2 linked regions of the Arabidopsis thaliana genome follow. The protein of the gene in region 2 purifies or fractionates together with the protein of the main gene of each other region. This does not show direct contact. Each region holds a gene or a part of one and is shown on either strand. Other genes may lie near its edges. The genes, in order: RPN1A and AT4G24820.

Region 1 (17,046 bases), on a different chromosome or scaffold from region 2:
TTCATAGATTTGTTGTGGAAACGGCGACCACCTTGGAAACCACCATGGAATCAAATCATAAGAACCTTGTATTTCTGGTCTTTGAAGAACGTCAACAAGAGAATCGAGATCATGGATTTATCATGGGCAACATTTACAACCAAAACAATGTCATTGTCTCACGCGGGTGATGGAAATAATTATATGGTTAGCGATGTAACTGATGGATCGCAACCTTTTGATTTTCGAAAAGTGTGTTGGAGTTTCATTAAAGAGATGATAGCCAAACAAGAAGATCAAATTAGACCGAAGACGAAGACGATCAAGGAAAATAACAGATTGATAACCCTGTTAGCGTGTAAGGCTTACCTACGAAAGGAAGCAATGTGTAATTTCACTTTTTCGATTATTTCGTTCAACTTAAGTATTGGTTGTATGGATTGTAGAGCTCTCACTTATATGCTTATTGGTATATTTGTAATCTCTTTTTAAGTTTAATAAATAAGACGTTAAAAAAAAAAAAAAAAACTCCCATAAGTTTTACGCCGTTAAAGAGAGACGGAGCGACGTTTGCTACGACCGTCAAGATTCAAATGGAATCTTTTTTAAGGAAAAACAAAAATTCCTCCAACGGCTATATCTGATCAGACATCTCTGTCTTCTTCTTGGATGCGGAAAAGGAAAAACCTTATTACTTGTTTGAGATTCTCAATTCAATTCTCTGAGATTCTTAAATTCAATTCTCTGAGATTTTGCCCTTTTCATAATAATGGAGTCTACGCCTCCTTATCACCGATCCAACACTAAATCAGCTTCGCGTCTCCAAGATTCTTCGAATCCTCCAAATCTCTCTCTTGATTTGGTTCTGTCGTCTCCCAATACTCCAAACCCATCATCACCTGTTCCTCTTCGCGATATCCTCCTCTTACCTCCTTCTCCACTTCGAAAATCGAGGACCCGTTTATCCGATCGACTCGAAATGACTTCTGAAGATGCTATGGCGGTGGTTCGGAAACGGGGCAAAGGGAAAGGAGGGCAAAAGAGTCTTTTAGCATCTCCGAGGAATCCCCGGAGATCGAGGCGAAGATCTGAAGCTGTGGAAGAGAAAGAAGCTAATTTGGTTATCGAAGAAATCGTAAAGCTTCCTCCTAGAAAGCGGAAGACTAATGGTCGACCTAAGAAGGATAAGCAAAGTTCAGCTCCTCCTCTTTGTTCTTCCTCAGATCTTCCAAGTACTCTTCTTTCTCTTATTATCTGCTTTATGTGTTTCTCTGCTTAATTCTGATTTGCTTGTGTGTTGGGTTTGGTGAAGATACATGTCAGAGCGATTTGAATCTGATTGGAGAGATTATAAGTGATTTGGTAATGTGGAGAGATGTTGCGAAATCGACTCTCTGGTTTGGTTTTGGATGTTTGTCTTTCCTATCTTCTTGCTTTGCCAAAGGAGTCAACTTTAGGTACCAAATATCTAGCTTGTGTTTGTAGGCTCAATTAGATTTGTGAAAGTCATGACCTTTTTCTTTGTTTTGAAGCGTTTTCTCGGCGGTTTCCAATCTCGGACTTGTGTTACTTTGCGGGTCCTTCTTGTCAAACACTCTTTGTCAAAGGTACATTTACTTCTGTGGTCTCTTTTGTTTGGCATTCTCCATAAGCTAATAGTTAGTGTGATCCTTCAATGTGTTGTTACTTTTAGGAAAAATGAAGACACAAAGAGAGCGTTCCATGTGAGTGAAGATGATGTCTTGCGCTCAGCTAGACGAGTGCTTCCTGCAACCAACTTTTTTATCTCGAAGACTAGTGAGCTTTTTTCAGGAGAACCATCAATGACACTCAAAGTAAACAAAATCAAATCAGTTTTGGTGATTGCTATGTGTTGGTGGTTTACTTGCCCTTTCATCTGCTGATTTTCTTTTTGTCACAGGTGACACCATTTCTGCTACTTGGAGCTGAGTATGGTCATCTCATAACACTGTGGAGGCTATCTGCATTTGGTAATTAACATTTGGAACATAAGCTGAAACATTGTTAAGCATGATAGGAATTGTGATGATGATATGTGTGTATGGTTACTGAAACAGGTTTCTTCCTCAGTTTCACCATCCCAAAGCTGTATTCATGTTACACGCATCAGATTAGCCAAAAAGGTGAAGAATAATGAATTGCACCCATTCACATATTGTCAATTGTGTTAGAATCAATAGTCAAGTGTTTGTAGATGTCTTTAACTGGTCCAATGGTTTAAATTCTTGAACTGGTTTGAGTTTCATTTGTGCAGTTGAAAGAGTGAAAACGAGAATAGGTGAAGCATGGGGAGTCTGCTCACACAAGAAGATCTTGGCTGGCTCTGCGGTGACAGCGTTTTGGAACTTGACGAGCATAAGAACCCGAATATTTGCAGGTAATTTACCTAACCAATGGTTGACAGAGTATTTGGTTTGCCTTGTATCAAAATATAACGTATACGTCTTTCATGTTCTGCAGTTTTTATCATCCTGGTGATATTTCGGTATAGGAGACAAAATCTACAGCTAACTCCCGAGGAAGTTGAGCCTGTTGAGAATGAGCAAGAAGAAGAAACACTCCCGCAGGAAGAAGAAACAGTTCCACAAGAAGAAGAAACAGTTCCACAAGAAGAAGAACAGACACAGCCATCAGAAGAGCGAGCTTTAGTGGTGGTGGTTGCAGAAACTTAAGGATCAAAGAAACTGTAGTGTTTGTACTTTGTATCAATCCACATTCAACAGAGATGTAATTCTATATCTCGAAAGGATCTGTTTTTTTAATATGAAAAATTAATGACAAAGAGATCCTTTAACAAAGCTGCCCATTCAAGTCGTGAATCTTTGGCAGAGAATACAATGTTTCATAAGATCCAAGGGACAAGAAGAAGAAACTTGAAACCTTCTTTCAAGTTTAAGGGTCGACAAGTTAATGTGCCAATTTGATTGCCAAATCTGCTACTTTTTCCCTACTTATTTTGATGAGATTCTTGATTATATATATATATATATATATATATATATATATATATATATATATATATATATATATATATATATATATATTTGGTAGAATCTTGATTATAATTTATAGTATTCAAACTCATGGATGTTTCCAAGTTTTAAATTAGTAGAAGTGATGCAATTTTGTTGAGTTTGTATGTTGATGTAATAGAAATCATAGAGATTTGATTCAAAAGATATTGGACATTTGTCTTTGATATGAAAACTAAAGACAAAGAGATGATTTGTGTTTGAACAGTACAACAATTATTCTTTGCCTAAATACTCTTAAACCTTCTCTCGCAATCAACAATCTCGCATTGGGTACGCGTAGACATCATCAAAAGTCCTCTTTGCAAGCTGATAAATTATACCAAACATCAGTTACTCGTCCAACCAATACAACATGTCTTACTTAATAGGCTGAAAACAAAGAAAAGCTCTCCAAGAAACTCAGAAACAAAATTAAGAGGGTTTTCGTTCCTAAGTTTTTCTAAAGAAGAAGGCTTTAAAAGGTAGAGGTTTTGTACATAAACTGTAGCTTCATTGTTCCTCTGGCTAACTCATCACACATCATCATTGCAAGCTGGGAGTATAAGACCAATCAGTAATAACTCAAATGCTATAACCAACAAGAAAAGAAGACACGTTTCCGGGTACATGTATTTTTTTTAAGAAGATATGTAAGAACCAGTTCTTTTAAAACACAATGCAGCATCAACCATTGCTTGATGTGTATCTAAAGCCTATCTTATTGCCTGAAACCCGTTCTAATCGTTTATATTATTTGCATGAAAACCCAGATCTTGGCTTCGTTGTCTCCATCTACACTTGTGTCAGCCTACAAGATCGAAAAACTAGACCAATTGAGCCGCTATCTCTTTACAACGTTAAGCAGAAAGACAACAACAACTGATCCAGTTTTTCGCCATAGCAACAACCAAAAAGAATCTACACTGATCGAGAAAGCTTCTTAAATGGCAAAATCTAAACTAGTTCTCTACCTATGTCTAATACAACAATCTAGAAAGCCAATACAGAAACAGCTCTCAAACACATTTCATCAATCAAACAAAGCATATCTCCACTCAATATTTAGTACATATTTAAGCCATTATTCAAGCATTACAAAATTGAAGGATGTGAGAAAGTACCGTCAGAGAGCCAGCCATAGGTTTGGCCAGAGATAGAAAGCTTTGAAGTCATTAGCGCTGAAGCTGTAGCCGAGTGATATGGTAACAATGACTCCACACAGAAGCTCAGTTCCACAGGATTTCTATTCACATCAAAAACAAACAAAAATGCAAATTCTTTTAAGTAATGTGATAAGAGAGTTTCACATTTAAAATCAACATCAAAATGCAAAATTTCATCTTTTTTACTTGTGAATAATCGATCTGGAAACATGATTAACGCAAAAATGTAATTTTTACATAGAGAAGTTCCTTCTTTTTTTTCACAATTCGATCGAATTTAACCCATTTCAAGCTTCAAGTAGCACAAAACTGTGAAATGAGCTCAAATAAGGAAATGGGTATGAGAGAGACTAACCGGAGAGGAGAAAGCAGTGGGCTTCTTCTGGCAGTGGCTCTAAACAATGGTGGAGCGGATTTCGCTTGAGAGGCGAAGCGGCCAGTAGAAGCAGCGGCGCTGCGTGAGGAAGCAGCTCGAAGCATCGATCTGGCACCGGAGAGGACGGCGGACGTGGCCATCAGGAGAGAGAATTGAAGAGAAGATCAAAAACTACGGCTGCGAGAGAGAAGAAGAGAGAATGCTGAAGCCTGAACTCCGATTACGATTACGGGAAATGATGATAAACCCTATAAACGCGATCTTAGTTTGGACGAAACCTTAGTCTTTTGTTATAAACGCGATCGCAACACTTTTGGGCCAAAGGAAAGCCCAATTTCATTTGTGCGTCTTTGAACGGCACTATGCAAGTGGCTAACATTTCTTCACTTTTTTTATGTGATCAAAGTAATTGGAAAATTTTATGGATCGTTATTTTTTAAACTGAGTCAATATTGGTTTTGGCAAGAATATGTGTCGACTTGGTGGCGATTAAAAAAAAAAAAAAAAAAAAGAGACTAAAGTTTATATAACTAAAAGCGTCAGGTCATACAAAGATCCCAAGATAATGAAACAAAGCTTAAACGGAGAGTAGAAAAACCATGAGATAATAGACGAAATAGTAAAACTAGTGACAACTGGCTGGAAGCAGAAGCTCTCTCTCTTCACTCCTCTCTGTAGTCTGGGTTCTCCTTTAAGATGATGAATCCTTCTAGTATTGGCGACAGAGGAATGTATCTGTTTGCCAGTTACAAATCCGAGTTTTATAATCAGACACCTAAGTAGGCAACATAAAGGGTACAAGGAAGAAAGGAAAAAGAATAACATACTTGTCCGTGGCTAGTTCGGCTCTCTCTCCAGCAGCCAGGAGAACAGGTGTGGAGTGTGTCTGGAAACCGGTTATGGTCTTGGGCCGACCCGCTTGCCCAACCACATCAACTGCTTGTCCTACCCGCACTGGCACTGACAGTGGCTTCAGGTTTTCATCCACTGTCAACATCATCCTTGGCTATACATTTTTTTAACAAAATTTGATTAAATATCAAATCATAGCAAGTTCATCAGACCTAACTAACAAGAGGGAGAAACACAGGACAGAAGTTGAACTCACTTGCATCGCCAAAACGAGGAAGTACAGCACATAATGGTACTTCCCGAGTATGATTGGTTTCATGTCAAGGCATGCATGCAAAAGTGTCACTATACCAGCAAGTGCGGTTCTGCATAAATAAGGTCCGCATGAGAAACCTTTGAACATCCAACTATCAAAAAAGATTTGGTTCTATTGGTGACAAAAAGAATGAACTTACGGCGATAGCAAGAACCGTTCAGAGTGGAAGGGGCTGAGTGTCAAGAGACCCTTTCCCATGTGCACAAGCCCTTGAGCAATACGCACCTGCATAATGACTTACCAAGTTAGTTACAATAATTCCAACAAGAACAACAGCTTACCGCAGGGTACAGAAACCAAAATGAGGAACACATTACACAGAAGAGAAGACTCATGTCTTTGTAATAATAGCTGGAGAGGTTCCGAAGCATCCCGGCTATCCTTGCGTTATTAGTTCCAGCGCCAATCAGTCCCAATGATATAATTGCTGACTGTACGAGTCAAAAGAAAGATCAGTCCTCTCTCAATACTATTCAGCTAAATAATATGGGACAGGCTATGAAGCGAAATGATTGCTAACCATGGCAACTTCCGAATCTGTGTCATGGCTAAGCCGGCTCAAGGTGTCCATTACAGTCACCTGGAATTGTGGGAAAAATATTAAAAACCCAGTATTACTCTAGACGCCCACTAATAATTGTAAGCAGGTGCAGTAAAACTACATTTACAAAAGTATTTACCTTTGGATTGGATATACAAAGGAGACCAAGGGCCAAAGGCACAGCACGCCGAATGTTTTGTTCTCCGTATTGTAGCATCCGCTCCAGAGAACGGATCTCCATATCAACTCCCAGTTCTTCAGACATAGCAACCATTGCTAACCCAAGCACAGCTGGACCCTGGTGGATGTCACCTTTCTCAAGATGCTCGCCACACTGAGCAAGAAGGTCTTGTACCTGAAAATATAAGTAGGAGTCAACAACTAAACAAGTAATGAATTATGTCACTCAACCACCAGCACAATTGATTAGATACCTTTAGGACATTTCCAGTTCCAGCATAAGCACAAGAAAGAAGTGTCATATCACAATACTTTCTAATCTTCTCATTGAAGGTCTTCGAAACTTCAGCTGTAGCCTCTACACTTTCCTGGTAGATATTGGAACAAGTTGATGTTGGTCAAGCAATGCAAATAATGATATACGAACAAAGAGCGAGATTATGTAAAACACATTGCTAACCTGTTTGCCCAGGTATAGAAGTCCAAGACCAAGTGGCAAGAAACGAGTGAGGGCATCACCCAGTTCTGCCTCACTTCGATCCATCAAAGCAAATATAATAGACTGGGCTACTTCTTCGTTACAGGAACCAACATATATCATTCCCAAAGAAAGTGAAGCAAATGCAATCACATCAAGAGGCGCTTTTGCATCATTCAGTATCGGGGACAATTTGTTTCGAATCTGTTGAAACAGTGTACGTGTTAAAGTTTTGTGAACACCCGAAACATTCAAGTAGTAATATGGGAAAGAATATAACAAGTACCTGGTCATTTTGGGAACCTGCGTATGAAATTCCAAGACCCATGATAGCACCGATTCTGACAGATGAATCCTCTTTGTCTATATAGTCTCCAAGAAGTGCCAATGCCTGAGAAATAAGGCTGAGTAAGATGGAAGAGTGGCTGCAAATATTAGCACAAATGGTCCCAGCAAAATCAAACACGACAGCAACTCACAGGATCACAATCGTTCTTAATGCCACAATTTACAATCCCAACTCCCAGCAGTGCTCCAGCAATGATAGGATTATCATTACTATGGAAATATTTGTCGAGTTGGGAAAGTCCAGAGTCCACATCCCACAGTTGAATCATACCCTATATGATAGGGAAACAAAAAGATCTGGTTACAATTCTTACTTCCATGATCTGAGCACAGTAAATAAATTCATCAAATAAGAAAAAGTATACCAGACTAGCAGCTGCACTAGTCTTGCCATGTTCTTTATTTTTGAAGAGCCAGTTTCCAGAAGATCCGGTGGTTGAGTCTGAAGGTACTGTCATTAGTTTGTCCTGCGATAAGCAAATATATTAAGAGGACACGTCTTCCACTAGATCTATTTTATTATAATCTGCAACCATACCTGACCAAAACCAGCATTTACGAATGCATTGACAAAGGTAGCAGCCAAATTCTGTCTAGCAGAATCCACGCTTGCACCGGAGCTAGCCCTGCCGTCGAGTAAGTGAGCCTATAAAATTCAAAAAGGGCAGGTCAAAGACTGAGGGAAACATAATTTGTAACTAAATAAATGAGTAGCAAGCCTAACACATTAAAACTGATTTACCTTGTAGATGTCTTCAGGCGTTTTGGCCTCCATGACCTCAATATCCCTTGCAAGGGTCAGATATCCTTCACTTAACTTAGTGTTGTTAACAATATCCTGTAGGGCTTCCCGGTCATCATCATCTGCAACCATCTCATCGTCAAGTTCAAAGGTTATACCCTGCAGGGAGGCATACGACGAGAGGAGAAGTATAAGAAAGTATGTCAATCGGGTATTGTGTCTCTAAATGAATGGAAATTTTAAACAGCGATGCAGCAGTTAATCTGTGTGTGCCTTAGAAGAGAATAGGAGGAGGCCAGTGTCGCTAAAGAATGAGGTCTTCCCAGAAAAACAATACAAAATTGGACTAAAAATAATGTTCAAGAAACATATTTAAATTCCCTCTAGATCATGCTGAATTACAACTACAAACTATGTTCTCATTTTTTTTCTGCTAACTTTATGTAACAGCTGGAAAGTAAAATACAATCGAATAAAAGCACAACCAACTATCAAAGCATATAGGAGTAAAGATCCAAATCAAAACATACATACCGAAAAGAAAGAATGAGATAGAATTGTAGTAAAGTAGAGATAGTTAGGACTTACATGACGAGCAATCATGTAGCAGAACTGTTTCTTCTTCAGCAGATCCGTACATGAGGTAAATACTTGTTTAACATACTGCAATACAGAAAATACACCATACAGCACATTAAATATCAAAAATGTCTACGCAAATACTCGAAATAAAACATAGAGGATTGATTTTTCCAAATGCTTCACACGCAGAAAGAATGAAATGAAACTACGTTCTATAGAAAGATTAAAGTCCTACCTGCGTGTTATCAAGAAATAGTGCAATCTGCAGAGCGTTTGGATACTCTTCAAACTTCATGTAAATCATGTAGGAAATATCTAGAACCAACATGTCATCTGGTCCAGGAAGGTACCTGAAAATTCAAATATATAAGACGTCAGAGAGATTTTTGGAAGCAAATATAAACAAAGCTCACCACTTGTTTCTACAAGATCAGTTCAAATAACAAAGAGTGAGGAAAAATAAAATAAATAGGATTGACTATGTTTAAAGTACCTAGCTGCACTTGTGAGATAGTTGCATGTCCTCTTGAAATTTGTTTTGTCTACATGCTCAAGTAAGAGATCAAGATCCTCAACATCCATTAAAAGATCAACAGCTTCGGTTTCTGCATTATGCTGCAAGGAGTAAATGAAATCGTTTAGAAATAAATAAATCGCAGAGGTGCTAATCTCAAGCCCTATTAGTTTAGGAATTCACCTTCATGTGAAAAGCAACAATTTGTTGCACAAGCTCCATTAAATCGTCAATAGAGGCCTCCTCACTCTGAGATAATGAACAGGTAGATAAATATGACTCAGTGACCTTTCTCATTGAATAAGACACATTTAGTCATTCCTCAAAACTCCAACCATCAGAATTCAGAAGGATAAACCCAAACACAACTTCCAACAATCTTAGAATATCTGCACAAGTCCTAGGACGAGAAACTGAATTTCCAAAGACAAAATCGAAAATTGATTTCTAACCTGACGCTTTGTATACTCTTGTGCAATCTCTCCAGCTAAATTCCTGACATATTCATGACCCCACGATCCAATGTCACCCTCTGTTCCAATCAATCTAAACCTTAAGCTTTCCTGGAATTATATTGTAAAAGAAAGTGATTAGCAGTTCAAAGTATGCCTTAAAAAATACAAATCAGAATACAAAGTATGCCCAAGTCAGTAGAAGCATACCCTTTCACCATCTGCAGACATGGTAAGGGCCAGGACAGACAGGATATCGGACAGGTACTTCTGCAAACATAGCAAATGTAATTTTTAAGCCATACCAATATAAGAATTGTTAATGACTTGAAATCAATGATGACATACTTTGAGATCAGAATCAGCCATTGTTTCATGAAACGCTTTAAGAGTTCCATAATGGGGACGCAGAAACTTTAGTGGTTTGGGAACTGAAGTCATGGAACTTGTTGAAGCTCGGATTTCCTGCCTACAAAGCCAAATAAAACTCTAATTAAAAACATAAACATGTACACCAAGAGCAGAGAGAAAGAAAAAAAGCTTTATAAGTTGTACAAGCTTCAGTGGCAATAATCTGAAAACCCGAAGCTGATCAAGTCAAGAATTACCTCATGCTCTCAAGGGCAGCCTTCTGCAATTCCGGATTAGGATCCTGAACCCTCTCAACATAGAGCTCAAGGTTCTGCTTTAGTTCCAAGTCCTCTTCAGACTACAATCACAACCCAATGTAAGTCGAGTCATTAAGAAAGTGACCATATACAAACAAAAAAAACTTTCCTCACATCACAAGTTAACAACTTTCTAATCCGGCTAGTCTAATGACGAACAAAACACTCACTTTGCCAGATTAAAAACCCTAATTCTATAACACCCCTACTTCAACTCGATCGAGACTCCAATTAAAAACCTAACTGCAGATCTTACAGATTTGAAATTAATTCGTTTCTGATGAACCCAGATACTAAACACGACACACAATGTCGAAAAAGGATTCGATAAATCAAAAAACCGAGAAAGAAGAAACTTTACCAAATCCTCATCCTTTTTCTCGTCCTTCTTCTTGGGATCCTTAGACGGAACCTTCAAGGTAGCTTCATCTTTCTTCGCACCGCCTCCGACACTGTTGGGATCCTGAGTTGGAGCCATCTCTACAGTAACAGATCAATCTAAGGAACCCCTTGTAAAAAGCTTGAAATTTGAACACTCAAACGAATCGAGAAGCTTGTGCTTGTGCTATCGAAAACTCTCTGATTGCAGGAATTAAAACAAAAAAAACTCTTCTGCAACTCTCTAATCAAAGCACAATAATATATGAAGAAGAATCTAAATATTGGAATCGGAGAAGATAACCCCTCGATCAAGATTTCTACACTATAGAATCAATCAGCCCATTACAACCTCTTTTTCAATGTCACAGCCCATTAACCGTATTGGGCTCATTTAGTGAGTTCTTCTTACATGGGCCCACATGTCTAAAATTATTTATTCATCATATTTCTGTATGGTTGAACAAACATAATTTATCCTTATGACAGTTAATTTATTTCACGTTTGAAGAGGATTTCGACATATTTTCATTCTCTTTTCGACCGGTCGCAGACAAAACTGCAAGACAAGCTTTTCTTTCACAACCTAGTGAAGTCATAGTTTCGTCTAATTCACTGCATTGGATCTGGTCATTAGTAAAATTGTTGAAATATCTCATGATCCTTGTAAATTCAATATTGACAATTTTTGACCATCTATCTCATGGTAATTTAGTAGTTGAAATCTTCACCAAAGAGTTTATAGAGACCATGGTTTTTTGTTATTTTCACTATGATTTTAGTAAAAGTTAGCCAATGTAGATGTAGGCACCAAAAACTAGTGTGCATTTCGATTTGGAATGTCCGGTTAGAACAAAAAAAAATGATTTGTCTTCATTATCTTCGACCAAAGTCCTTTAAATTTTTGAATTTGAACCGAGTATTCATTTTGGTTATATTGGATTTTAATACCATGCATGTAGGGTTTGAATATATTTACTTTTGCCTATAAATACGTACTTATAAAAAGCATATGTGTACAAGTGTGAGTGGAAAATGAGATGCTAGTAATAGTATCCGCATGTATATGAATTATCAATTATGAAGAGAGAGGGACCATTCAAATTTGAAGGAGACGAGAGAGAGAGAGAGAGAGTGGTCACAATTGGAGAAAGAAGAGGTCGTTACGTTGGATTTTACGTTGCCTCCATGCACTTCCTTCTCCTCTTATCTCGTGGTCCTCTCCCTCTCTCCTCATTATTATTTTATGCCATTGTTCTCTCAATCCCAACAATACGTTTTTATACGGTAATATATGCATGGTAAACACACAATTTCATTACTCATTTTTCACCATATATAACCGGCTGGTATTTTTAAGTATAAGTTATGTTTATAAATTATAAGTGTATATATACTCGTGAGGTTGTCCTCTTTATAATCAATTGGTCGTCGTTTGCGACTTTGCTTTGAACGCTTCCAATTTCCATATGATCATTTGATATGGAAATTTGTTGTGTTATGTTTTATAAAAAAACTTTATATAAGCAATCAAGTTCTAAATCACCAATGGTTAGAGAAAATATAGGTAATTTATTTGCGTTAATAGAGCTAGAGTGTACTTAGCACCCTAGATACATATGAAAAGGGTCTCCTTATTAGTCACATGGGACGATTAAGTAAAGAGTAACTCTTAACACAACAAGGGTCAAAACAAAAACAACCCTTGGAAAAATAAAAGTACAATAATTGAAAGACATGTCGTCGAATTTTTGTTTGGTTCTCGCTTGCCTACGGATCTTGTGCGTTTCAGGCACAAGACGCGGTCGGAGGAACCTCAGAGACACCGTGACGGTGAAGCTCTGTCATAACACCGTCAACAGCCGGCGGATTTAATCCCAACGGAAGTGGCAGCCATGGCCTCGTCAATACATCTCCTATGGCTGCATCCACGCTCTCTTTTGACTGTTCCATTTATAATATATATACACAAAAAGTCAAAAATACATAATTACATAATCAAATGCGAAAAGTCAAAACTCGACAACAATCAATTCATTATATTAGATTCTTACCGGATGTAAGTCTACCGGAGGACGAGCACCACCAAATCCAAGATTTGGTTTGTACATCGTGTGATGCGGCGGCAGAGCATGCGGGATTCCGGCAACTGGCGGTGCTCTAAATCTCTATACAATTACCAATCAAAAATACGATTTAAAACATATATATAGAAACAAAAAGGGGTATACATACGGAAACAATCTTATAAATGTTGGTTCATTACCGTAGCTACGGTCGGTAAATACGGAGTCGTCCCGTTATGCATCTACATGCAAAAATGCTGGTTAGAAAGACAAGCATATGATAAAAATACTCGGTGTCATTCAGCTTTCATAATGTTAAATACTATGATGAAAACAAATATGATAAAGAGCTAAAGTAAAGGTTTCATAAATGTGGGAACTTACTGGATGCCAATAGGGAGAATCGGAGACCCAAAACGGCGGATTAGGCATGGCGGTAGAAGGCGGAGGTAAGTGTTTGGGCCACACATGCGGCATAATGGACTGATCAACCGTGGGATGTCCCCACACATGCAGGGGCCTAAAATGATGGTGGTGGACAGGTGGCGGTGCAACAGCCACGGGTGGTGGTGGTGGAAACCCGAGAGTGGGTGCCGGTGCAAGCCATCCATTTTTAGTCCGACCATTAAGATTAGCACCGGTGTCTACTCCATAGATATGCCTTTTGCGTGTCCAATTAGCCGCTTCGGCCTCACGAGCTAGCAAATGTTTCCGATGAGACCTATATTTCTAGTATACCAAATAACAGCAACATGTTAATTTGGATGGTTAATATTAGAGAATGAAATTGAAAAGAAATATACTAACTTGGAGGTGACTAGCAACGTTGTGACGAGTGAGACAATGGACTCCCATAAGCTCCAGAATTCGAGAAGGAACAGCTTTGTCCACTCCTAACTGTTCCACTGCCTCCACGAATCTCCTGTGTAGCTCTGGTGTCCAATCCACCTTCACACACATCCCAACATATATATAACCACCATCTTCATTATTTTTTCAATACTTTTTCACATACTATATAAAATTCACAATTAGCAGCTGACTATTTTACATAATTTGAAAGAAAAAAAGTCTTATAGAGATGCACGTGATGTCTTTACACGAGTCTTGTAAACATGACTGAAATATGAAAAATTTAGAAGATTTAGCAAGAAAATGAATTCTAAACGAATAATCCACTTTTAAAAAAAATACGAATCCATTATAGACCTGTTCATTTAATCGAGTCTAGCTAGGGTTTTTATTCATATAAGACTAATGTTTTATATATAGATGATATGATTAAAATCATTACCTTCACCTTTCTCTTCCCTTCGTTGTTACTGATCCGATTGTTCTTGGAAGAAGCTGAAGAGGAATACTTCCTTTTCCGGTCACTGTCACCGTCATAAGTCACCGTCTCCGCCGCAACATCGTCTCTTTTGCTTACGACTTCTTCACCTTTCCCCGAACTACCCTTAGTAGTCTCCCCTTGACTATCAGTCTTATCCGACGTCGTAGTAATCGTTGAAGAAGCGTTCATGTGATTGGAGAAATCCCCGGATAAGATCTCAGGGTCGATCTCCAAGTCAGGAAGCACATCTCCGGCCACACCGAATATATCGTCGAAGTCAATGATGTCAAGAAGATCACCGTGGTCAGCGAAATCCGGAAACTCCTCCTCCTCCTCCGGGTTTATAATCGTGAATCCACACGACGTATCAAGAAACTCTGACGCTCCGTCGCAACCATCTCTTGTCGCCGGAGACAGAGCTAACATCGATCAATCTTCACTTGTAGATCCAAATATAATCGTAGATAGAGGTTTATGTATGTTGTAGATAGGCTAGACTTAATTAGAATAGAGAGCAAGACATGTTTTGATATCCAAAGTAAGTCTCTTTCTTCTCCCTTAAAGGCAAATATAATTCATTTTCATTTATATGCTATATATAGAGAGAGACAGAAAGAAATCCATCACAAAAATATATATATATATATATACTAGATAAGGCCCGCCTATTGAGGCGGGTGTACCCGAAATTTTCAAATACTCGAACAGATCTAAACTTCAAAACCCAAAAAACTCGAACCTGAACCCGAATACGTATCCAAACATATTTCAAATATAAATATATATTAGTTATATTTATACTTATATATAGAAAATATTAGGATTTTTTGGATATTTTAATTATTTTGTGTATTTTTAGATATATTCAAGCAAAACTACTCGTGTTGTTTTGGGAATTTTTGAAATTTTCAAGTAATTTAATAGATTTGCACACAAAATTTGATATTTCAATATATAAATAAACTCAAACCCACCCAAACCGAACCCGACCCGAAATCTTAAATTACCCGAACGGGTCCTAAACTTCTAAACCCGAAAACCCGAACCCAAAATACCCGACCCGAATACCCAAACGCCTAGGGCTAATAATTAATAAAAAAAAGAAATCCACAAAATATTTAGAAACCAAACATTGTTGAAAATATATTTTCTATATATGCCGTAATCTCGTAAGTTAATTTTACATCATGCAAATTAATATTAAATGAGTTAAAATTAATAAATGAAAATAATTGAAAAGTTAAATCCTATAAGATAAGCTATTTTTCTCAAAATGTTCTATTTTCACTTATGATTACATGAGTTAAAGACAAATTTGTTAATTTTCCTTTTGTTGAATAAATGTTAATTGTTTATAAATATATAGACATATAAATTAGTATATGTAAATTTGTTTACTTTTTAAGATTTTCTATTTAATTTTAGAGAATAAAAAAGTTAAATTTTGAATGATACATGTAAACATCTGATCGTTTGACTTGACACGTGACACAATCTTATGAGTTAGCAACTTTAAAAACCATACTTTATATAATAAGATATATATATATATATATGCCTAGTTCTAAATGTGGTAAATAAAACATAAATTTTTTTTTTTTTACTGTTTAGATAAACATAAAATATCGACAACAAGCTCAAACATATATTTAGGCAACTCTTTTAGCGAATCTTTTTCCCTGTTTTGTTGGTAACACAAAAATTTAAGTGAAGTTGTTGCCAAACTGGATCAGAGCCACAACTTTAAAGTTCAATATCTGATTGTCGCATTTGTCCCTTTACCGTTTTGGTATCTTGGTTTTGGTCTGTCCCAACATTATTGATCAATCGGATGGCATTTCAACGGTTCTATGTCACTATGTAAAAGGTCTATGCTGGTCAACTTACATGTAGATGGATGTAAATAATCAATCCATCTACCGTATCACATACCCCTTATATATTGACGTGAATGAGGCTCGCAAATTAAGCTGTGGAAGATGCTCTTATAAAAAAGGACAGAATTGTCTCATTAGGTATAAGTGGACATGCACGTCCTATGGGTCCTCAAGAGCTACAATAATTGTTGTTGCTCGTTTCCACATCACATTTTTTGAATCGAATTCACGTTCACAATATTCGTACGGCATATATATATATACATCGTGAAGGAAGAAAATTGTAAGAAATTCCACATACTTTCAGGCCCTTATAGGCTAACACAACTCTATATATATTGAATGAGGGTTTTCTCAAAGTCAAGTACTAGAGTTCCAAATATTTGCTAGATATATGCGTAGGCTCCTTTCTATAAATGATGGAGTAATTTATAGTTGAATATTTGAGTGGTTTTGTTGCTACCATTTATGAGATGATCTGATGATACTTTTTAATAATGACTTAATCTTCTATATAACTGATTTGGTTTAAGATAAAGAAAAGGATAAAGATTGTTTCATTTAGAAACCGAAAATAAATAATTATTGGAGTTGTTGATTTTGGAATGATCTAAGATCTCACAGTCAGCTAGTTCAGTCTACGGCCCGACACTCTGGTTGGTGAGATGTTGGATCCCTTCTCCCAGCATGGAGTTACAGTGAGTTTTCATAGTTTTCTTCTACTATTGGAATATTAAAAACTAGCTAAGTTTAAATTTCAAAAATAACAGAAAAAGCTAGCTAGCCAATAAGTTTAATATATAGGTCAATAAAATAAATCTATGAGCTCGAGTAATATACAAATGTTATATTGAATTGAGTATTGAATCTCTATATAGAGATGGAGATGAAAAGCTATATATGTACATTAATTTTGAAACTGATATTAGAGGTTTGACAATCAGTGGACGTGAAGGGCCACCACACCCACATGTGACTTGATAGCGACTAGAATGGAAATGATATCATGTGTGTTTGTAATTAAAAATGAAGTGCAACTTTCGTAAAAGGACTACTGGTCATTAATTATGATTCCAACACTCATCATCTTTTTCGCTGTAAATAGCATATCATATGTATATATGTACTTGGAACGATTCTCCTGTTAACTTGGAAATAGCTAGGGA
Region 2 (15,268 bases):
GTATGAGCTGTTCCAGTGATCAAGGCGATGCAACTTCTGCTATGTGTACTCCACACATTCCTCCGGGTGAAAAAAGGTAAAACATGGTTCATATTTATTCATTTCAAAAGTAAGTTGTTTTGTGATTTGGCTAGCTACTCAAGTATACTCTGCCTCTGACTTTGTGCAGGCCAGAAGATGACACTGATGTGTTGTGTTGGAAGAAGACTCCCCTAGGCAAGGTAAACATCTCGACTATGCCTAAGAATTCGGTTTCAGATCTCTGTCTGTACCTTTTTGGTGTTTCTAATTTGTGATGATGATACATGTCTTATAGGGTCAGAGCGAGACACAGAACAGCAAGAGCTCACGGCTTATCGGCCGAGTCCTTCCCTGCAGCACTGCAGCTAATTAAGGGAGCTCGATGAGGGTAATACCCATTTTGTGGAAGTGGAACCAATAGGTTTTAGCAAACCCATTGTTTAGGACAATGTGACACAAAAATGTATAGTTGCAAAATGTGTTTCAAGACCATATTTTAGATTAGCATATACTAATCACTCCTTTAACAGACCTGAATTTTACTGTCTTTGGACCCTTTTATTGACTGAGCTCATTATGTTTTCACAAATTATCTCATTCATTAAAACGAATCAGAATAAAGTGAATACATTAGTCTTCAACTTTTTTGTTACAAAAAGTGGATAATGTTTAATTTTTTCAATAAACTGATTTGAAATTAGAAACATAATTTGGATAAGGTTTTAGTAATTTGGGATAAGATATTGACAGAGAGATATTTATAAATTATCTGGTTTCACTATTTTGGTAGGAAAACTCCAAAATTAAATCCATAACCCTAATCGATATCTCTCTTGGACAGGCCAGCACATGTAACGAGCAATCGTGACCGTTGAGACAGTAACACGTGGCAACAGTCCTTATGATGAGACCTTTGATGAGAATCAGCAGCCTCCATTTCTGTAAGCTTTTTGTTCCTCCCAAAATTCCCAAATCCATCTTCTTCTCCAAACAATCTTCTCTCAAACATTACTACTATTTTCCAGGATAGCTTACGCAGCTTCAGACTCGGGTTCTTCTTTTCGATCTAGCCTCCGTCCTCTTTCTTCTTACCACGGATCTCGCCTGCTCTTTTTCCGTACGACGGTCTGCTTTGTGGATAGTTTGGCTGACGACGAGGCGATTTGAACATTAACAGTTACTGGTACTTGGAGTTTCAAACATTTCTCCGATGTTTTGGTTTTGGCATTTAGTCACGGGAATGATTAATTGATTGATTGCTGTAGAAATATGTGAAGAATGACACGTAGAAGAATTTGATGAAACCTTGGGATGCATAGGCTTCTGTATTATGGATTGGTGATTTTAGATCTCCATTTATGTCGTTTCACATCAGTGTCTTGTGGTTTTAGCTATATGCTGTTTTGGTTTTAGGTTGATATTTATTGTATGGTATGTGTTTGTTAAAGGAATGATTTGATGATGTTTCACTGTTAGGGTAATTGCCAAGGATGGAGGGTTTCCTAACGGATCAGCAGAGAGAGATGATGAAAGTTGCAACTCAGACTGCAGATGATCTTCCACCCTCACAAAAACCTCACTCGGTTTTACTTGAGCATCTGCCTAAACCATCTGGTGGTGGGAAAGCTTCTGGTGCGTCAAATGCTGTGAAGCACAGAAGGTCTCATGCGGGAAGGTCTATTCGCTCTAAGAAGGGTCAGTTACTACCTTTATCAGTTTAGATTTGGGTTTCTAAACCATCAAGTGTCAAGGGATGGCTCTTAGTCAAATTTGGAGCTGAAAATTGTGTAGATTGCATATTTATACTTCCTTTGTTCTTCGGGTAGCGGTGATTGATAAATTTTGTTTCAGATGGAGGTGGTGGGAAAGGAAATTGGGGAAAACTTATTGACACTGATGGAGACTATCACATTGACCCGAATGATCCTAATTATGACAGTGGAGAGGTAGTTTCTGCACCTTTCGTACTAGATGGTTGATTATTTTCTTGCCAAAGTACTTGCACAAAACTGTTTCTGTTGTCCATCTGCTGTTCAGATGATGTAGAAAATTTATCCATTGTGTGTTACTTTTTAGAGATCATCAGTCTCAGCTCTCTTTGTGTTTTTTTTTGTTTTATAGGAACCATTCGAGCTTGTTGGTGCAACTCTGTCAGACCCATTAGATGATTACAAGAAAGCTGCAGCTTCCATCATTAACGAATACTTCAGCACCGGTGATGTTGATGTGGCAGCAGCTGACCTCATTGAACTTGGTTCAAGTGAATATCATCCCTACTTCATCAAGCGGCTTGTCTCGGTAGCGATGGACAGGCATGACAAAGAGAAGGAAATGGCCTCGGTTTTGCTTTCCGCATTGTATGCTGATGTCATTAACCCGAACCAGATAAGAGATGGATTTGTCCTGCTGCTCGAGTCAGCCGATGACTTTGTGGTGGATATACCTGATGCTGTCAATGTTCTTGCTTTGTTCCTTGCACGTGCTGTCGTGGATGACATACTTCCTCCAGCTTTTCTTCCTAGGGCTGCCAAGGCACTTCCAATAACTTCTAAAGGTTACCAGGTTGTCCAAACTGCAGAGAAAAGCTATCTATCAGCTGCACACCATGCTGAGCTAGTAGAAAGAAGGTGGGGTGGACAGACTCGAACCACTGTTGAGGAAGTCAAGAAGAAGATTGCTGACATTTTGAATGAATATGTGGAGACTGGAGAGACTTATGAGGCATGTCGTTGCGTAAGAGAGTTGGGTGTTTCTTTCTTTCACCATGAGGTTGTGAAGAGGGCCTTAGTTACTGCCTTGGAAAACCACGCAGCAGAAGCACCTGTATTGAAACTGCTAAATGAAGCAGCTTCAGAAAACCTGATAAGCTCTAGTCAAATGGTGAAGGGATTTTCAAGATTAAGAGAAAGCCTTGATGATCTTGCTCTTGACATTCCTTCAGCTAGAACCAAATTTGGTTTGATTGTGCCAAAAGCTGTCTCAGGTGGTTGGCTTGATGCTTCGTTTGGTTATCCCTCTGGTGAATGTGGACGACAACAGAACGAGGATGAGAAACTAAAGCGGTTCAAGGAAGACATTGTGACCATCATTCATGAGTATTTCAACTCTGATGACATACCAGAACTCATACGCAGTCTTGAGGATTTAGGAGCACCCGAGTACAACCCAATTTTTCTAAAGAAGCTGATAACACTTGCTTTGGACAGGAAGAATCACGAGAAAGAAATGGCATCTGTTCTTCTCTCATCTCTTCACATCGAGATGTTCACCACAGAAGATGTTGCAGATGGTTTCGTCATGCTCCTGGAGTCTGCAGAAGATACAGCTCTTGACATTCTGGATGCGTCCAACGAACTTGCTCTGTTCTTAGCTAGAGCTGTGATCGATGATGTTTTAGCACCTTTTAACCTGGAAGAGATCAGTAGCAAACTACGCCCTAACTCAAGCGGAACTGAAACCGTGAAGATGGCTAGGTCACTCATCTTTGCTCGACATGCAGGAGAGAGGCTTCTAAGATGCTGGGGAGGTGGGAGCGGTTGGGCAGTGGAAGATGCAAAGGACAAGATATCAAATCTCCTGGAGGAATACGAAAGCTCAGGGCTGGTATCAGAAGCATGCAAATGCATCCATGAGCTAGGCATGCCTTTCTTCAACCATGAGGTGGTGAAGAAAGCACTGGTGATGGGTATGGAGAAGAAGAAGGACAAGATGATGCTGGATCTTCTGCAGGAGAGTTTCAGTGAAGGACTCATAACCACAAACCAGATGACCAAAGGGTTCACAAGAGTCAAAGACGGACTTGAAGATCTTGCTTTAGACATCCCAAACGCAAAGGAGAAATTCAACGACTACGTGGAGTATGGGAAGAAGAATGGTTGGGTTTCGTCGTCGTTTTTAACTTCCCTAACTGAAGATGCTAATGTAGGCTAGAGATCAAGAGGAGATATCCCAAATGGTGTGTGAACTAAAAAAAACTGATAGAATGTACAAGTCTCTTTCTCTCTTGAGCATCCCTGTGGTTGTTTTGTTTTGCACTTTTAGGCTTTGAGAATTCTGCCCAGGGAGCTTATCTTTTCACGAATGTTTAACTTTTTTCTTCAGAGGACCTTTTTATTGCTCTGAATTTAGTCCAACGGAACTTTGGGGCTATATTGGATCAAGTTTCAATTCAGAGTCAATAATAATGCCTTGATGACAATTAGACAAAACAAACTATATTATTTGCATTTGGTGTTTTTCTAATTATGATCCAAACTTTAATCATTTCTTTAATTAAATAAATTCCCATATATGCTTCGATGTACACACAGAGACAACAAGGAAGGGAAGTCTCGAAGCTAACATGAAATTCGTAATACCAAAACTACCCTTCACACTCTCTCTCTTCCTCTCCCTCTCTTTTCTCATCATCTTCCTCTTCGCCTTCCCCACCACATTCCTCCGCCGTCCTCTCTCCTCCTCTTCCTCCGTCACCTCCGTTGCCGACGAAGGAATACGGATCCGTCACCATGGATACTCCTCCTACGAAGCATACATCAAACACCAGCTCAACAAAACTCAGAACCCGAAGCTACGTAAGGTATGGACAACGCGCGACTGGGACAGGAAAGTTCGTGTGTTCTCCACTTTCTTCCGACGTCTCAGCGATCGCGGTCTTCTCTCAAATCAATCAAAAGCTCTCTCGATCGGTGCTCGGGTTGGACAAGAGGTTGCGGCGTTGAGATTGATCGGCGTGGAAGACTCCGTCGGAATAGATCTGGTTCCGCGACCACCTCTCGTGGTGAAAGGTGACTTCCACGCGCAGCCGTTCGACGAAGAGACATTCGATTTCGAATTCTCAAACGTGTTCGATCACGCGCTTTACCCGGAGAAGTTCGTTGGGGAGATCGAACGGACTTTAAAGCCCGGAGGGGTGTGTGTGTTACACGTGTCGATATCTGGGAAGACGGATAAGTACTCGGCTAACGATTTGCTTAGTGTGAAACCATTGGTGAAATTGTTTAAGAGATCCAAGGTTGTGGAGATGAGGAAGATCGATGGGTTTGGGCTTGACACTGAGATTGTTTTTAGAAAGAACATGAACTAAAACACTTCAAGATTCATAAATGTAGTTTTGTTTTAATTTGTTTCATTTCATTACATAGATTCGTTGTTAAGTTGATAGCAAATTGTTTCTTTTTTTGGACTGTATTTTCATTTTCTATCATTTATTATACACTTGCAAATGTATACATCAAATAAATTATAGTTTTATTTTTTACTGATATAAATATGTAATACCTTTGTCTTTTCCTTATTTTCATTGGTTAAATTTGTCGAAAATATGGAAAATCGAATTAACATGATAGTGATGGTCAAGTTTTAAGGTGTGTTGTGAGGGATTTTTGTTTTTTTTCTGTGATTATTGAAAAGTTGACATGGAAATAAATGAATTTCATTCATTCTTTCACTCATTCTCAAATTTGGGTTCGAACCACAACCAAATGTATATTGCAAATGCGGTTTAAAGCTACTTCTGGTTCTTGATGATGATACTCTCACAAATTTGACTATTATAGTTCCTAGTAGTTGCCATGTAACTTTGTCGGTGTATCTCACAAATAGCACAAAAGTAGAGTTTTAAAACTTACGCAACTCTCCTTGTGCTCAAATCTGACATTATAATGACAAAACTTTTATAAAGATGTACTCACTAGTCAAAGTTTCAAACCAACTAAACCGGTTAAGGTAAGAGACAACTTGCTGCCTTAGCTGTATCCAGAAAATAATGTAAAGACTAAAGACTGAGAGCATCATTTGCAAGAGGCAGGGGATTTTATTAACTCTCTCTTGGCCCTGGGTATAGCCTTCTAAGAGAACTACATCGACGCTTCTGCTTTCTACCTGAAATTTTATTTTCCATTAGAAAAACGTATTTGGTAAATCACTATAAAAGAGTTGCTCATTGTCTTAACCTGTTGAGAGTCTTCCAGATGCATGCAAAGCCTCTTCTGCCATAGCCCTCCAGTGTTGAGCGCAGGAGTAATTAATGCCAATCCCTACGCTGAGTCCTCTTAACAGAACTACTGTGCGAAGAACAGAGAAGAGTTCCTCTGGAAATGCCTACCCACAACCAGCAAACACACTCAAATTTTTGCAGTATATTCAAAACACACACAACTGTTGACTGAATATGTGTTTTCTTTTTTTACCTCAACCGAAATCTTTTTGATCGAAGAGTCTTCTGAGAAAGGTTGCAGAGTTGTCGTACCAGGAGGCATCTCTGTGTCGAACATTGTTTTTGCTAACTGGAGAAGCTCTTGTTGCTCATTCTTACACTTGGCTACTGTAGCTATACCAAGTTCCCTGAATTTACACCACAGAAACATCTAAGTAATAATCATATGCCACACTAATCCGATAGGTGACTAACCAATTTTCAGCTTCAATTAGAACCATAATCATGATAACAAAGTTATTTCACCTAAAGCTCTGTAACGCCAATGACGCATTGTTATCAGCGATGGCAATTACCAAATTTGCATAACCAAGTCTCAGGTGGTCAGGGAGTTCTTTCACTTGACCATAGTCCAGCAGTGCAACCTGATGACGGGAAACAAAGATTACAACTCAAAATATATAGACGGTACTAAAACGTATCAAAAGACCACAGTAAGTCAATTAAGAAACTACTAAAGAATAACTACAAACAAAAGATGACTTGCCTCTGAACCTTTACCAATCAAGATATTCCCAGGATGTGGATCCGCATGAAAGAAACCACTCTTCAGTATCATTTGGCCATATGCTTGGGACAAACTGTGTAGTATATTGCTAGAAAACAAAATACATTTTCCAATGCAGCATTAGACAAGATCCAAATGCTTTAAAAGCCGCCAATGCCATTGGAAAAAGTCAAAAACCTATCTGAGATAATGGAGGAGCTTACAATTTTGCTGCCTCTGCCATTTTACCATGAGGATTTATCCCTCTTTTTGCCATCTCATCACCAAGGCTCAAGATCGGGATTCCGTTCATGAATTCCATAACCAGAACCTTCCTGTGCGTATTATGATTATTCCTCTGATCAGCACTCATTAGTGAATATAACCGAAAATTAAAGAACTTTCGAATGGAAAGAGACTATGTCGAAAAGACAGGAACCATAATTCTTGATCAGTGAAACAGGACAACCTAAAAAGCCTTAAAACATTATTGGGATAACCAGAATGCTAATATAAGAATAAGTACCTGGTCACCAAATTTGGAAACACCCTGGGAACCAGAACAGGACTCTTTCTATTGTTATCATATAGAAAACGTCGGATCTTCTCCATTGCATTGGCCTCCCTTTTAAAGTCGAATTCATACCCAATCTAGTAAATGAAAACAAGGACTGATAGTGACTTGGCGGCTATAAAGTTCTTACCAGATACCCTCAAAATATAGAAAGAATGATATATACCTGCTTCTCTATTTCCTTTGTCATGGAGAACAAGTCAAATTTGATATCAGTTTTCTGCATGTATAATGCAAATATTTGCAAGTTTCTGATATCAACCATCATCAACTTCTCAACGCCAGGATGTTGGACCTAAACATGTCGTAGCACATTCAGAAACCAATTAAAAGTAGACTAGGAAGATTTCAGTTTTCTCCTCATTATTCCTCACCTTTACAACAACATCCCTCTTGTCACCCTTTACTCTTGCTCGGTGTACCTAGATAGAAGCAAAAAGAAAGTGAAATACAGTATATATTGAGACTTTCTTAACCAAACTATAATCTTATCTGATTTTATAAGCATGCACGGTAATACTGTACAAAGGTTCTGAAACTATGAGTGATGAAGAATGTAGTACCTGAGCAATAGAAGCAGAGCCAAGAGGCTTCTCATCAAATGTTTCAAACACTTGTTCGATGCTTTTACCTAACTCTTTCTCCAGGACAACTCGAACGGCATCAAATGGTGTGGCAGGAGCTTGATCACACAAAGTGACGAGTTTTCTCACCCAAGCAGCTGGAGCCAAGTCAGGTTTCCCTAGAATTTGTGCAATCTATTGAACAAAATGAAAAAAAGTAAAAAAAAAAAAAAAAAACTCATCATAAGCAACTGTGAACAATCAAAGAGTAAAATGTACAACCTTTATTCTCATCAAAGAAACAAAAAAAAAACTCATACTTTTTGTTACAACAAGATTTAAGATGAGTAATTCATAACAATCCCAAACGTGGAAGTCCCCTCTGGTAATCACAAACCTCAACAACAGTCTCAACACACCATTACCTTAAGGAAGAAACCACCAAGGTCAGAGCACATAGAATAAACTTTATGAGCAGCAAGTTCATGTTGTCTCTCCCACATCTCCTCGTGCTTATTAACATCCTTGACGAAGTTCATACGAAGTTGAAATACCTAAAAGCCCAGAACAAGACACAGATTGAAAGAAAATTGCAGAAAATCATAAGAAAAATGTATTACAAAACGAAACATGAAGAAGAAGAAAGGAGTACCCATCAATCAAAGAGAAACCTTGTATCCGGTGTAGATATCAGTGGCACGAGCCCAGAACTGAAACGATCGTTGCCAAGGCCGGAATCCATCAGAGAGCTTCTCCTGAATCTCTTTGAAATCGATCGCATGCATTTTCGAAGTTTTGAGGAAGAGTGATAAGGATGAGAGGATAAAGTTAAGAATTGTTTATGTATGGCGTCAGAGTGGAGTTTGCTGCTCTCTACGAATCCATTCGAGAGTGTTAATTACTGTTTCGTTAAATTGTAAAGGAAACAAAATCCGTTTGTCTTATGTCACACTCACTGTGAGTCACTGGTTATAATTAGGCAGGCAATAGAAGATAAGGTACTAATCTCCTCAAATCTTAAAGTAGTTTACAATGATGGTCTTGTTACTAACCCCAGACCATATCAAAAAATTTAGGAAAAAAGGAACTTACTAAACAGTAAGAAACAAATTGTAAATCCTATAAGTGTGATGGTGAAGAATCTCACCTAATTCACTAAACAGACGTCCGTGGAAGAAGAATCTGCAAAATACCAAGTTACCAACTACTGTGTATGTATCTCTCACAAGTTCAACCAAGGACTGTCCTTTAGATGTATCTAATTTGTGTTCAATTCTAACCATTCAGATTATGAAGTGTACTAATGCATTTTTCTTGGTATATCTATATGGTCAACTAATACACCTTGTGAAACAAAAGCTTTATTTTGTAAGAGGTATGGTGGTCGTTTTCTCTTAGATACTAGATAGATGCGATGAAAACAACAGATTCAAAAGCCATATGCGAGGAAGAATAAAATGAACATTGGAGATTAAACTTGCTCTTTGTTCTTGGGAAATTCACCACTGACAAACCAACTAGAGTTGATGAAAGAAACTACAGCCATTCATCTCAAAATCCAAAGTTCATATCGTTTCTCAGACCTTAAGATTCTACCGTTCGGAGTTTCCAAGTTGCAAAGCTTGACGAAAGAGTGAAACAGAAACATGTAGCATGCTCACAGATCGATCACACGAGACAGCTTCTGGATTCGGTTTAGCAAGAAATCCCCTTGCTTGATTGTTGCCTGGTAAAGTGCATTCTTTGCATCAGGACGGTTTGTCTCCAAAACACCTGCAACCTTGTCTATCTTACAGTGAAGCTTCCCAGCAGCAATGAAGCGCGACAACTCCCTGGATAAAAAAAAAAATACATTTCAAGTCAGATTTAAGTTTGTATTATCGTTTTTTTGTATGCTTCTAAAGAGAGGTGGCAAACATAAATATACAAAAGAGCGTTCATTATTGTGCTTACTGGTCTATGAAATCGACAGAAACGCCAAAGGCCTTTGCCATTGCTTCAACTGTCACACTTTTGTAAGATTCCAAAAACTGAGAGTACACCACTGTTCTGACTTCCCTCATGTAGAACCGGAAATGCGGGTACAAGTAACGGTCATACTTTATCTGCACCGCCATTCCAGCTGAGAACATAAGCCGACAATGAAGTTAGTAAACATACAGACAAAAGCCAAGCAACATGCATTCGGATGTATGACCTCTGGTCCTTGTAATGAACTTACCAAATGCTGAGAAAAACGCCTTGTACTGGCACTCATACAAGGAGTTCAGAAACTCAGAAAGGAATGGAATCTTCCCAAGCACGGTTAAGATCTCAGGTGCATCAACGACCTGTCAAATTAGTAGCACTTGATAAGAATTTCAACAAATTACATGGATATACATCATTTTAATAAGTCGACATACTAAAAAGTTTTTATCTAAGTTTAGACAACTCTAAGTGGAAGACTGAGCCATTGAGAAATACCTTTTGCTTAAGGGAAACTCTGTCCAAAGTTATGATGCTTGTCAGGACGGTGTAGAATATGAAGGTCTCATATGGAAAAATTTCATATGTTGTGAAGGTTGATATAGAATCCAGGAATAAGCTGGCAGCCTTCTTAAAATTTCTGGTGGACATGCAGTACAAACCTTCATAGACCTTTAGCCGGTTCTTCCTCTCCCAGTCACCACCCTCTTCAAACAATCTGGCAAGGGAAAACGGAAAGTGTTAATTCAAGGATTTCAGTTGCACTATCCATGAAGAGTAGTCAAAATACAGCCAAATTGACATTTACTTTTTTGCTTTGTCAATGCTCTTTGATACCAGATCAAAGTCCATATAGAAAAAAGCAAGTTGTAACGTATAAAACACCACGTCCATTTTTTGTCCAACAGCAACAGTTTTCCCTTCAGTGAGTTTTAGCTGCTCCAAAGCTTTCTCCTAGGATTACAAAACAAAAATTTAATGGCCACGATCCACGGAAGTTACCATAACTATCAACTTTGATATGCCACATACCTTATCACTAATCCTGATGAAATACAGAGCCTTAGCAAGATGAGCTTCACGAACTTCACTTTCACCCAAATTTTCTTCTGCATCTGCAATCCTGAAAAAAGTGAAAGAAAAGAATATGTAAGAGAACTTTGGCTGATAACATACTGGTTCAGAAGTTTCTACAAAGTTAAAGCGGAGGCCAAGATGGACTCAGAAACCAATGGTTAGGTAATGGTTATCTCCCTAAGAATACTAAGACATCATGCTACATCAGCTACCACAGGAACATGGAGATTCCCAAAATTCATAGTGGACTTTTGCAAACACAATTCTGAATCCAATTTGAGACCCAGAATGCTACAGTCCCCCTACATCAATCTAACCCAAAATACTAATACGAGAATTCGAATTTCAAAGCACTGCCAAATAAAAGTGAGAAACTGAAGGAAACTTACTTCTCGTCGAGCTTCTTAAGCTCCTCTTCATTAGCGGCCCGCATAGACTCTAACAAGCTTTGATCCAAATCCAGCACCGAAGAGGCAATTAGGGTTTCGTACAAAGGAGCCATACCTAAAATAAATAAAAACACCAACGAAACATCAGGAACATAAAATCTCGAAGAAATATTAAGCTAATTCTCACTGATTAGAGAAAAGGAGCTGCTTAACCATGGGATCTGATGAAATCCAAAACCTCAGACTTGAGCTGGACTTTCTCGATGTCTGGAACATCTGGATGAGTGAGGAGGAAGAGCTTGTTGGCTAGAATAAGGTGAGGCTGCTGAGATCCTTCCGCTCCACCGTCCATCGCAAATCGGAAAGCTTGAATCGGATCTGAGAGAGAGAGAGCAAATATATAAAAAGAGGTTTGCTTGAGCAAGGAGGAAGAGCTTACAAAGATTTCAGGTCCGATGGTTTTTTTTTTTTGTGTATGTAAAAAAAAAATAAGTTTCGCATTACCTTAAACACCCTTATCTTTTTTTACATTTAAATTTGGAATTTTTACCATAAGAAAAAAAAGTAAAAAACATTTACATTTAAATTCTCGTTATAAATAATTTAAACTTAAGATCGTTGAATTCAAGTAATGGATATTTATATTTTATATCTCTTTCCAATGGAAATCATAAAAGAAAGAGGCACTCATTATTAAATTTCTCAAGTTTTTCCAAAGTGAAGAAAGATGATAGAATTATTTCGAAAGAAGCTGAAGCTATGACGACGCATCACAATAAGGGATGTGTTCTAATGTCAGGCTCTCAATTCCAAGTAAGACATGAATGAAAACCATTTCTAGCTAATTTTCTTAAGCATAGCTCTAATTTTCATTGGAAGCCCGTAAAGACGAATAAACCCGGCTGCATCCGCTTGGTTGTAGATCTCACTCCCTTCAAACGAAGATATGTCCTGTCTATACAGACTGTTAGGACTCTGACGCCCTGTAACCGACACAGATCCTTTGTACAGCTTCAGTGTCACAGATCCCGTGGTTGTCTCGGTTATCTTCTCCATGAAAGCGTCCATGGACTCCCTAAGCGGATCAAACCATCTTCCTGCGTAGACCATCTCTGCATATTTCAGTGCTAATGTGTCTTTTACCTGAATACTCTCTCTGTCTAGAGTGAGGGATTCTAGTTCCTGTACAGCTGCAAAGAGGATAGTGCCTCCAGGAGTTTCATACACACCTCGTGATTTCATCCCAACCAGACGGTTCTCAACCATGTCAATCCGCCCAATCCCGTGCTTTCCTCCTATTGTGTTTAGCTCGGCCAGAAGTGTGGCTGGACTCAGAGCCTTCCCGTTCAGCGCCACTGGAAGTCCAGATTCTATCCCGATCTCGATGTATCTGTATAAGTGTGTAAGTATCAAAAGTTAGGATGCAAATTGCAAAATCCTACTCTTGGTATCTAAATTTGATAGCATAGCAGCTAAACCAGTTAACTCCTTTGAGAGACTTTAATAACGAGAACTCTCTATTCTAGATCTGATTCCCAATCCCAAACCATAAACAAATCCTGAACACACCAACTCATTCTGCCTAAACCTCAGCTCTGTAGCTAACTGACTCAACTTTAGTTTTCAAACTATCAACACAGCTATAATCCACTACAAACCACCTTGGGGTAATTACAGTGCATAGTTAAACACAAGGGCTCAAAGAAATTCCAACTTACTCAGGCTGATCAGGAGCATCTTCAGGATCCACACTCATCATGTACATATCTTTCTTTGGCTCGTTTGCTGGATCTTCCAATAGATCACCCTTTCAACAAAACACATAAGTTTGATATCAGAGCATGAGACACATTATTAGGAACTGAGCAATGTGACAAACTGGATCAATTTGTATCCAAAAGAAAAATGCGAACCAACACTTGTCTTTTACTTTACCTCATGACTAAGGTGCCACAGGTTTCTGTCCCGGCTGTAAATGGACTTCTTTGTCACTGGGACGGGAACATTATGCTTCTTTGCATACTCAATAGCATCTTCTCGGCCTTGGATTTCCCATTCTCTCCATGGTGCCACAACTTTAAGTTCAGGGTTTAATGAAAAGAAGGTGAGCTCAAACCGAACCTGGTCAATCAATCAGTACAAAAAAGTAATGTAAGAATCAATGCGTGTTTTCCAATGTGACGCATTAGCAAGACATTCCAAGTACTTGCCTGGTCATTTCCTTTTCCAGTACACCCATGTGCAACGGCATCAGCTCCAACCTCTGCTGCTACATCAACCATGGCCTAATCATTTAGAAAATGTATTAGTGACAATATGTAATCCAAAAGATATATCCAGATATTAGAAATAGTGGGGGTAGTCCTCACAAGTCAATCATATAAAACCATTCGAAATGTTACCTTAGCAATGACAGGTCGAGCCATGGAGGTACCAAGCAAGTATTTTCGTTCATAGATGGCACCAGCTCTAAGACAAGGGAAGATGAAATCTTTCACAAACTCCTCTGTGAGATCCTTAACGACCAACTGAGAAGCACCACTAGCCTTAGCCTTTTGTTCTAAACCCTCTAACTCTTTTATGCCCTTCACATCAAAGTATTTAGAGGTTGAGAAGACATAAGCAGATTGCAACAACATAAAACTTCATTTCTTAACTAAAACAGTTGACATGTGGCATTTTTGTGATGTACCTGACCAACATCAGCAGTGAAGCACACAACTTCACAACCATAGTTCTCCCTAGAAAACAAATAGTTACATATAAGGAAGGTCAGACTAGTTGTTTCATAACCAGAGGAAGATTCAAAACGTATTCTTGTTAGAGGTCAGAAATAAACTCAAGAAAAAGGAAAACATACTTAAGCCATGGCACAATGACAGAGGTGTCTAAGCCTCCACTGTAAGCTAGAACGACCTTTTTCAGTTTTCCACGAAGTCCAGCCTCCTTTGAATCAGTAGTCAAGGCGGTTCCATCACCGGATAGAACAGCTCGAATAGCTGTGCAATATTCAAGACAGCAAATTGTTTAAAACGTACTAATGGAAAATTTCATCAAGAGGGGATAAAGAATATATGTTAAAGGAAATGGATTGATTCAGTGTAATGCTAACTTTACCTTGATTCTTGCAGCTGCGGGATCCGGTAACATGACCGGTAACAACGGCATTGCCAACAAGCTGGCTTCGTTTCAGAGATAACTGCAAATTCAGTAAAAAGCAAATACAGAATTTAGTTGTATCATCGAAGAAACAACAAGTATGAGCATCGATTTCAAATGGATGTACCTCTTGGAACTGGGAAGTAGTTTTTGGAACAGCTACATTCTGACATTTTAAGCTACCTGCGAAATTATATCAGATATTAATAACTTGAAGTCCCATTTGCAATTCGCGGAGATAAAAATAGACATCAGAAACGAAAACTGTCGGGGAAATGGAGAATTTTGTATTCAAGCTAGAGCTATTGGTAATAATATAAAAACAAGGAAACGAAATGGAGGAGACAAGAAATGGGGGGATAGAGAGAGAGAGAGAACCATTGTGGGAGCTACGGATGACGAGAGCAGAGGAAGAAGAAGAAGGAAACGAAGTCGCCGAGATTTCAGCCATTTTCGACTATTGTCTGCGAATTTGTTTCTTTGTCTGCGGTTTGGTTTTGTGTTCGTTCGACAATGGGGTTTGTGGCTCTTTTAAGAATGCCAACAGTGTCCACGTCCTCTAGGGTTTCGACACTCTTTTTTTTTTTTCTCTATTACGACGGCGATATCGTTTTTTTGTTATTTCTCATTGATTTTTCTTTCTTCAAATATGAAAAACGTTTCCATATTTAAACCCAACAAACTAAGAGCAGATTTCGACAGATTATACACCGTTAAACAATGTATATCTCTCTCAATTCCCCAATGATTTAGAATTCGAAACCGGTTAAATGTCGGTTTGGTATGTTTAGACAATTGATAGTTTCTTTGGTT

The links.
Region 1: the proteins of AT4G24820 (region 2) and RPN1A purify together in Arabidopsis thaliana (affinity purification with mass spectrometry; 2 studies listed by BioGRID, with this or other methods). This does not show direct contact.

The regions. Positions count from the first base shown.
Region 1 is NC_003071.7:8,852,869-8,869,914, reverse strand, and holds RPN1A (26S proteasome regulatory subunit S2 1A), read right to left. Parts: upstream 10,954-17,046; 5' UTR 10,705-10,953; coding exon 10,588-10,704; intron 10,268-10,587; coding exon 10,167-10,267; intron 10,028-10,166; coding exon 9,907-10,027; intron 9,829-9,906; coding exon 9,769-9,828; intron 9,670-9,768; coding exon 9,559-9,669; intron 9,356-9,558; coding exon 9,290-9,355; intron 9,208-9,289; coding exon 9,086-9,207; intron 8,943-9,085; coding exon 8,828-8,942; intron 8,674-8,827; coding exon 8,599-8,673; intron 8,170-8,598; coding exon 8,011-8,169; intron 7,915-8,010; coding exon 7,807-7,914; intron 7,736-7,806; coding exon 7,634-7,735; intron 7,541-7,633; coding exon 7,400-7,540; intron 7,312-7,399; coding exon 7,207-7,311; intron 7,125-7,206; coding exon 6,903-7,124; intron 6,811-6,902; coding exon 6,697-6,810; intron 6,618-6,696; coding exon 6,402-6,617; intron 6,302-6,401; coding exon 6,242-6,301; intron 6,153-6,241; coding exon 6,039-6,152; intron 5,947-6,038; and 9 more. Other genes in the region: AT2G20590 (Reticulon family protein), read left to right, coding at 749-1,211, 1,292-1,436, 1,512-1,586, 1,673-1,814, 1,901-1,970, 2,058-2,123, 2,255-2,377, 2,461-2,672; NFD6 (nuclear fusion defective 6), read right to left, coding at 4,107-4,257, 4,533-4,693; GPRI1 (GBF's pro-rich region-interacting factor 1), read right to left, coding at 12,393-12,548, 12,659-12,772, 12,871-12,912, 13,055-13,399, 13,478-13,618, 13,850-13,897, 13,965-14,429. UniProt on the Arabidopsis thaliana protein: Acts as a regulatory subunit of the 26 proteasome which is involved in the ATP-dependent degradation of ubiquitinated proteins. Required during embryogenesis. Required for optimal plant growth and stress responses. Required for innate immunity.
Region 2 is NC_003075.7:12,780,952-12,796,219, forward strand, and holds AT4G24820 (26S proteasome regulatory subunit Rpn7), read right to left. Parts: upstream 11,772-15,268; 5' UTR 11,649-11,771; coding exon 11,510-11,648; intron 11,412-11,509; coding exon 11,297-11,411; intron 10,954-11,296; coding exon 10,863-10,953; intron 10,785-10,862; coding exon 10,639-10,784; intron 10,549-10,638; coding exon 10,329-10,548; intron 10,193-10,328; coding exon 10,084-10,192; intron 9,985-10,083; coding exon 9,816-9,984; intron 9,695-9,815; coding exon 9,520-9,694; 3' UTR 9,366-9,519; exon of another isoform or gene 9,118-9,365; intron 8,841-9,117; exon of another isoform or gene 8,648-8,840; coding exon of another isoform or gene 8,534-8,647; exon of another isoform or gene 8,417-8,533; coding exon of another isoform or gene 8,288-8,416; exon of another isoform or gene 8,100-8,287; 3' UTR 8,079-8,099; downstream 1-8,078. Other genes in the region: AT4G24790 (AAA-type ATPase family protein), read left to right, coding at 1-76, 170-221, 317-394; ECIP1 (MA3 domain-containing protein), read left to right, coding at 1,512-1,716, 1,873-1,967, 2,143-3,951; AT4G24805 (S-adenosyl-L-methionine-dependent methyltransferases superfamily protein), read left to right, coding at 4,364-5,107; AT4G24810 (Protein kinase superfamily protein), read right to left, coding at 5,840-5,904, 5,976-6,123, 6,213-6,366, 6,485-6,603, 6,726-6,834, 6,950-7,060, 7,252-7,376, 7,466-7,594 and 4 more; AT4G24830 (arginosuccinate synthase family), read right to left, coding at 12,134-12,686, 13,015-13,103, 13,232-13,417, 13,507-13,581, 13,699-13,881, 13,989-14,037, 14,157-14,295, 14,414-14,495 and 2 more. UniProt on the Arabidopsis thaliana protein: Acts as a regulatory subunit of the 26S proteasome which is involved in the ATP-dependent degradation of ubiquitinated proteins.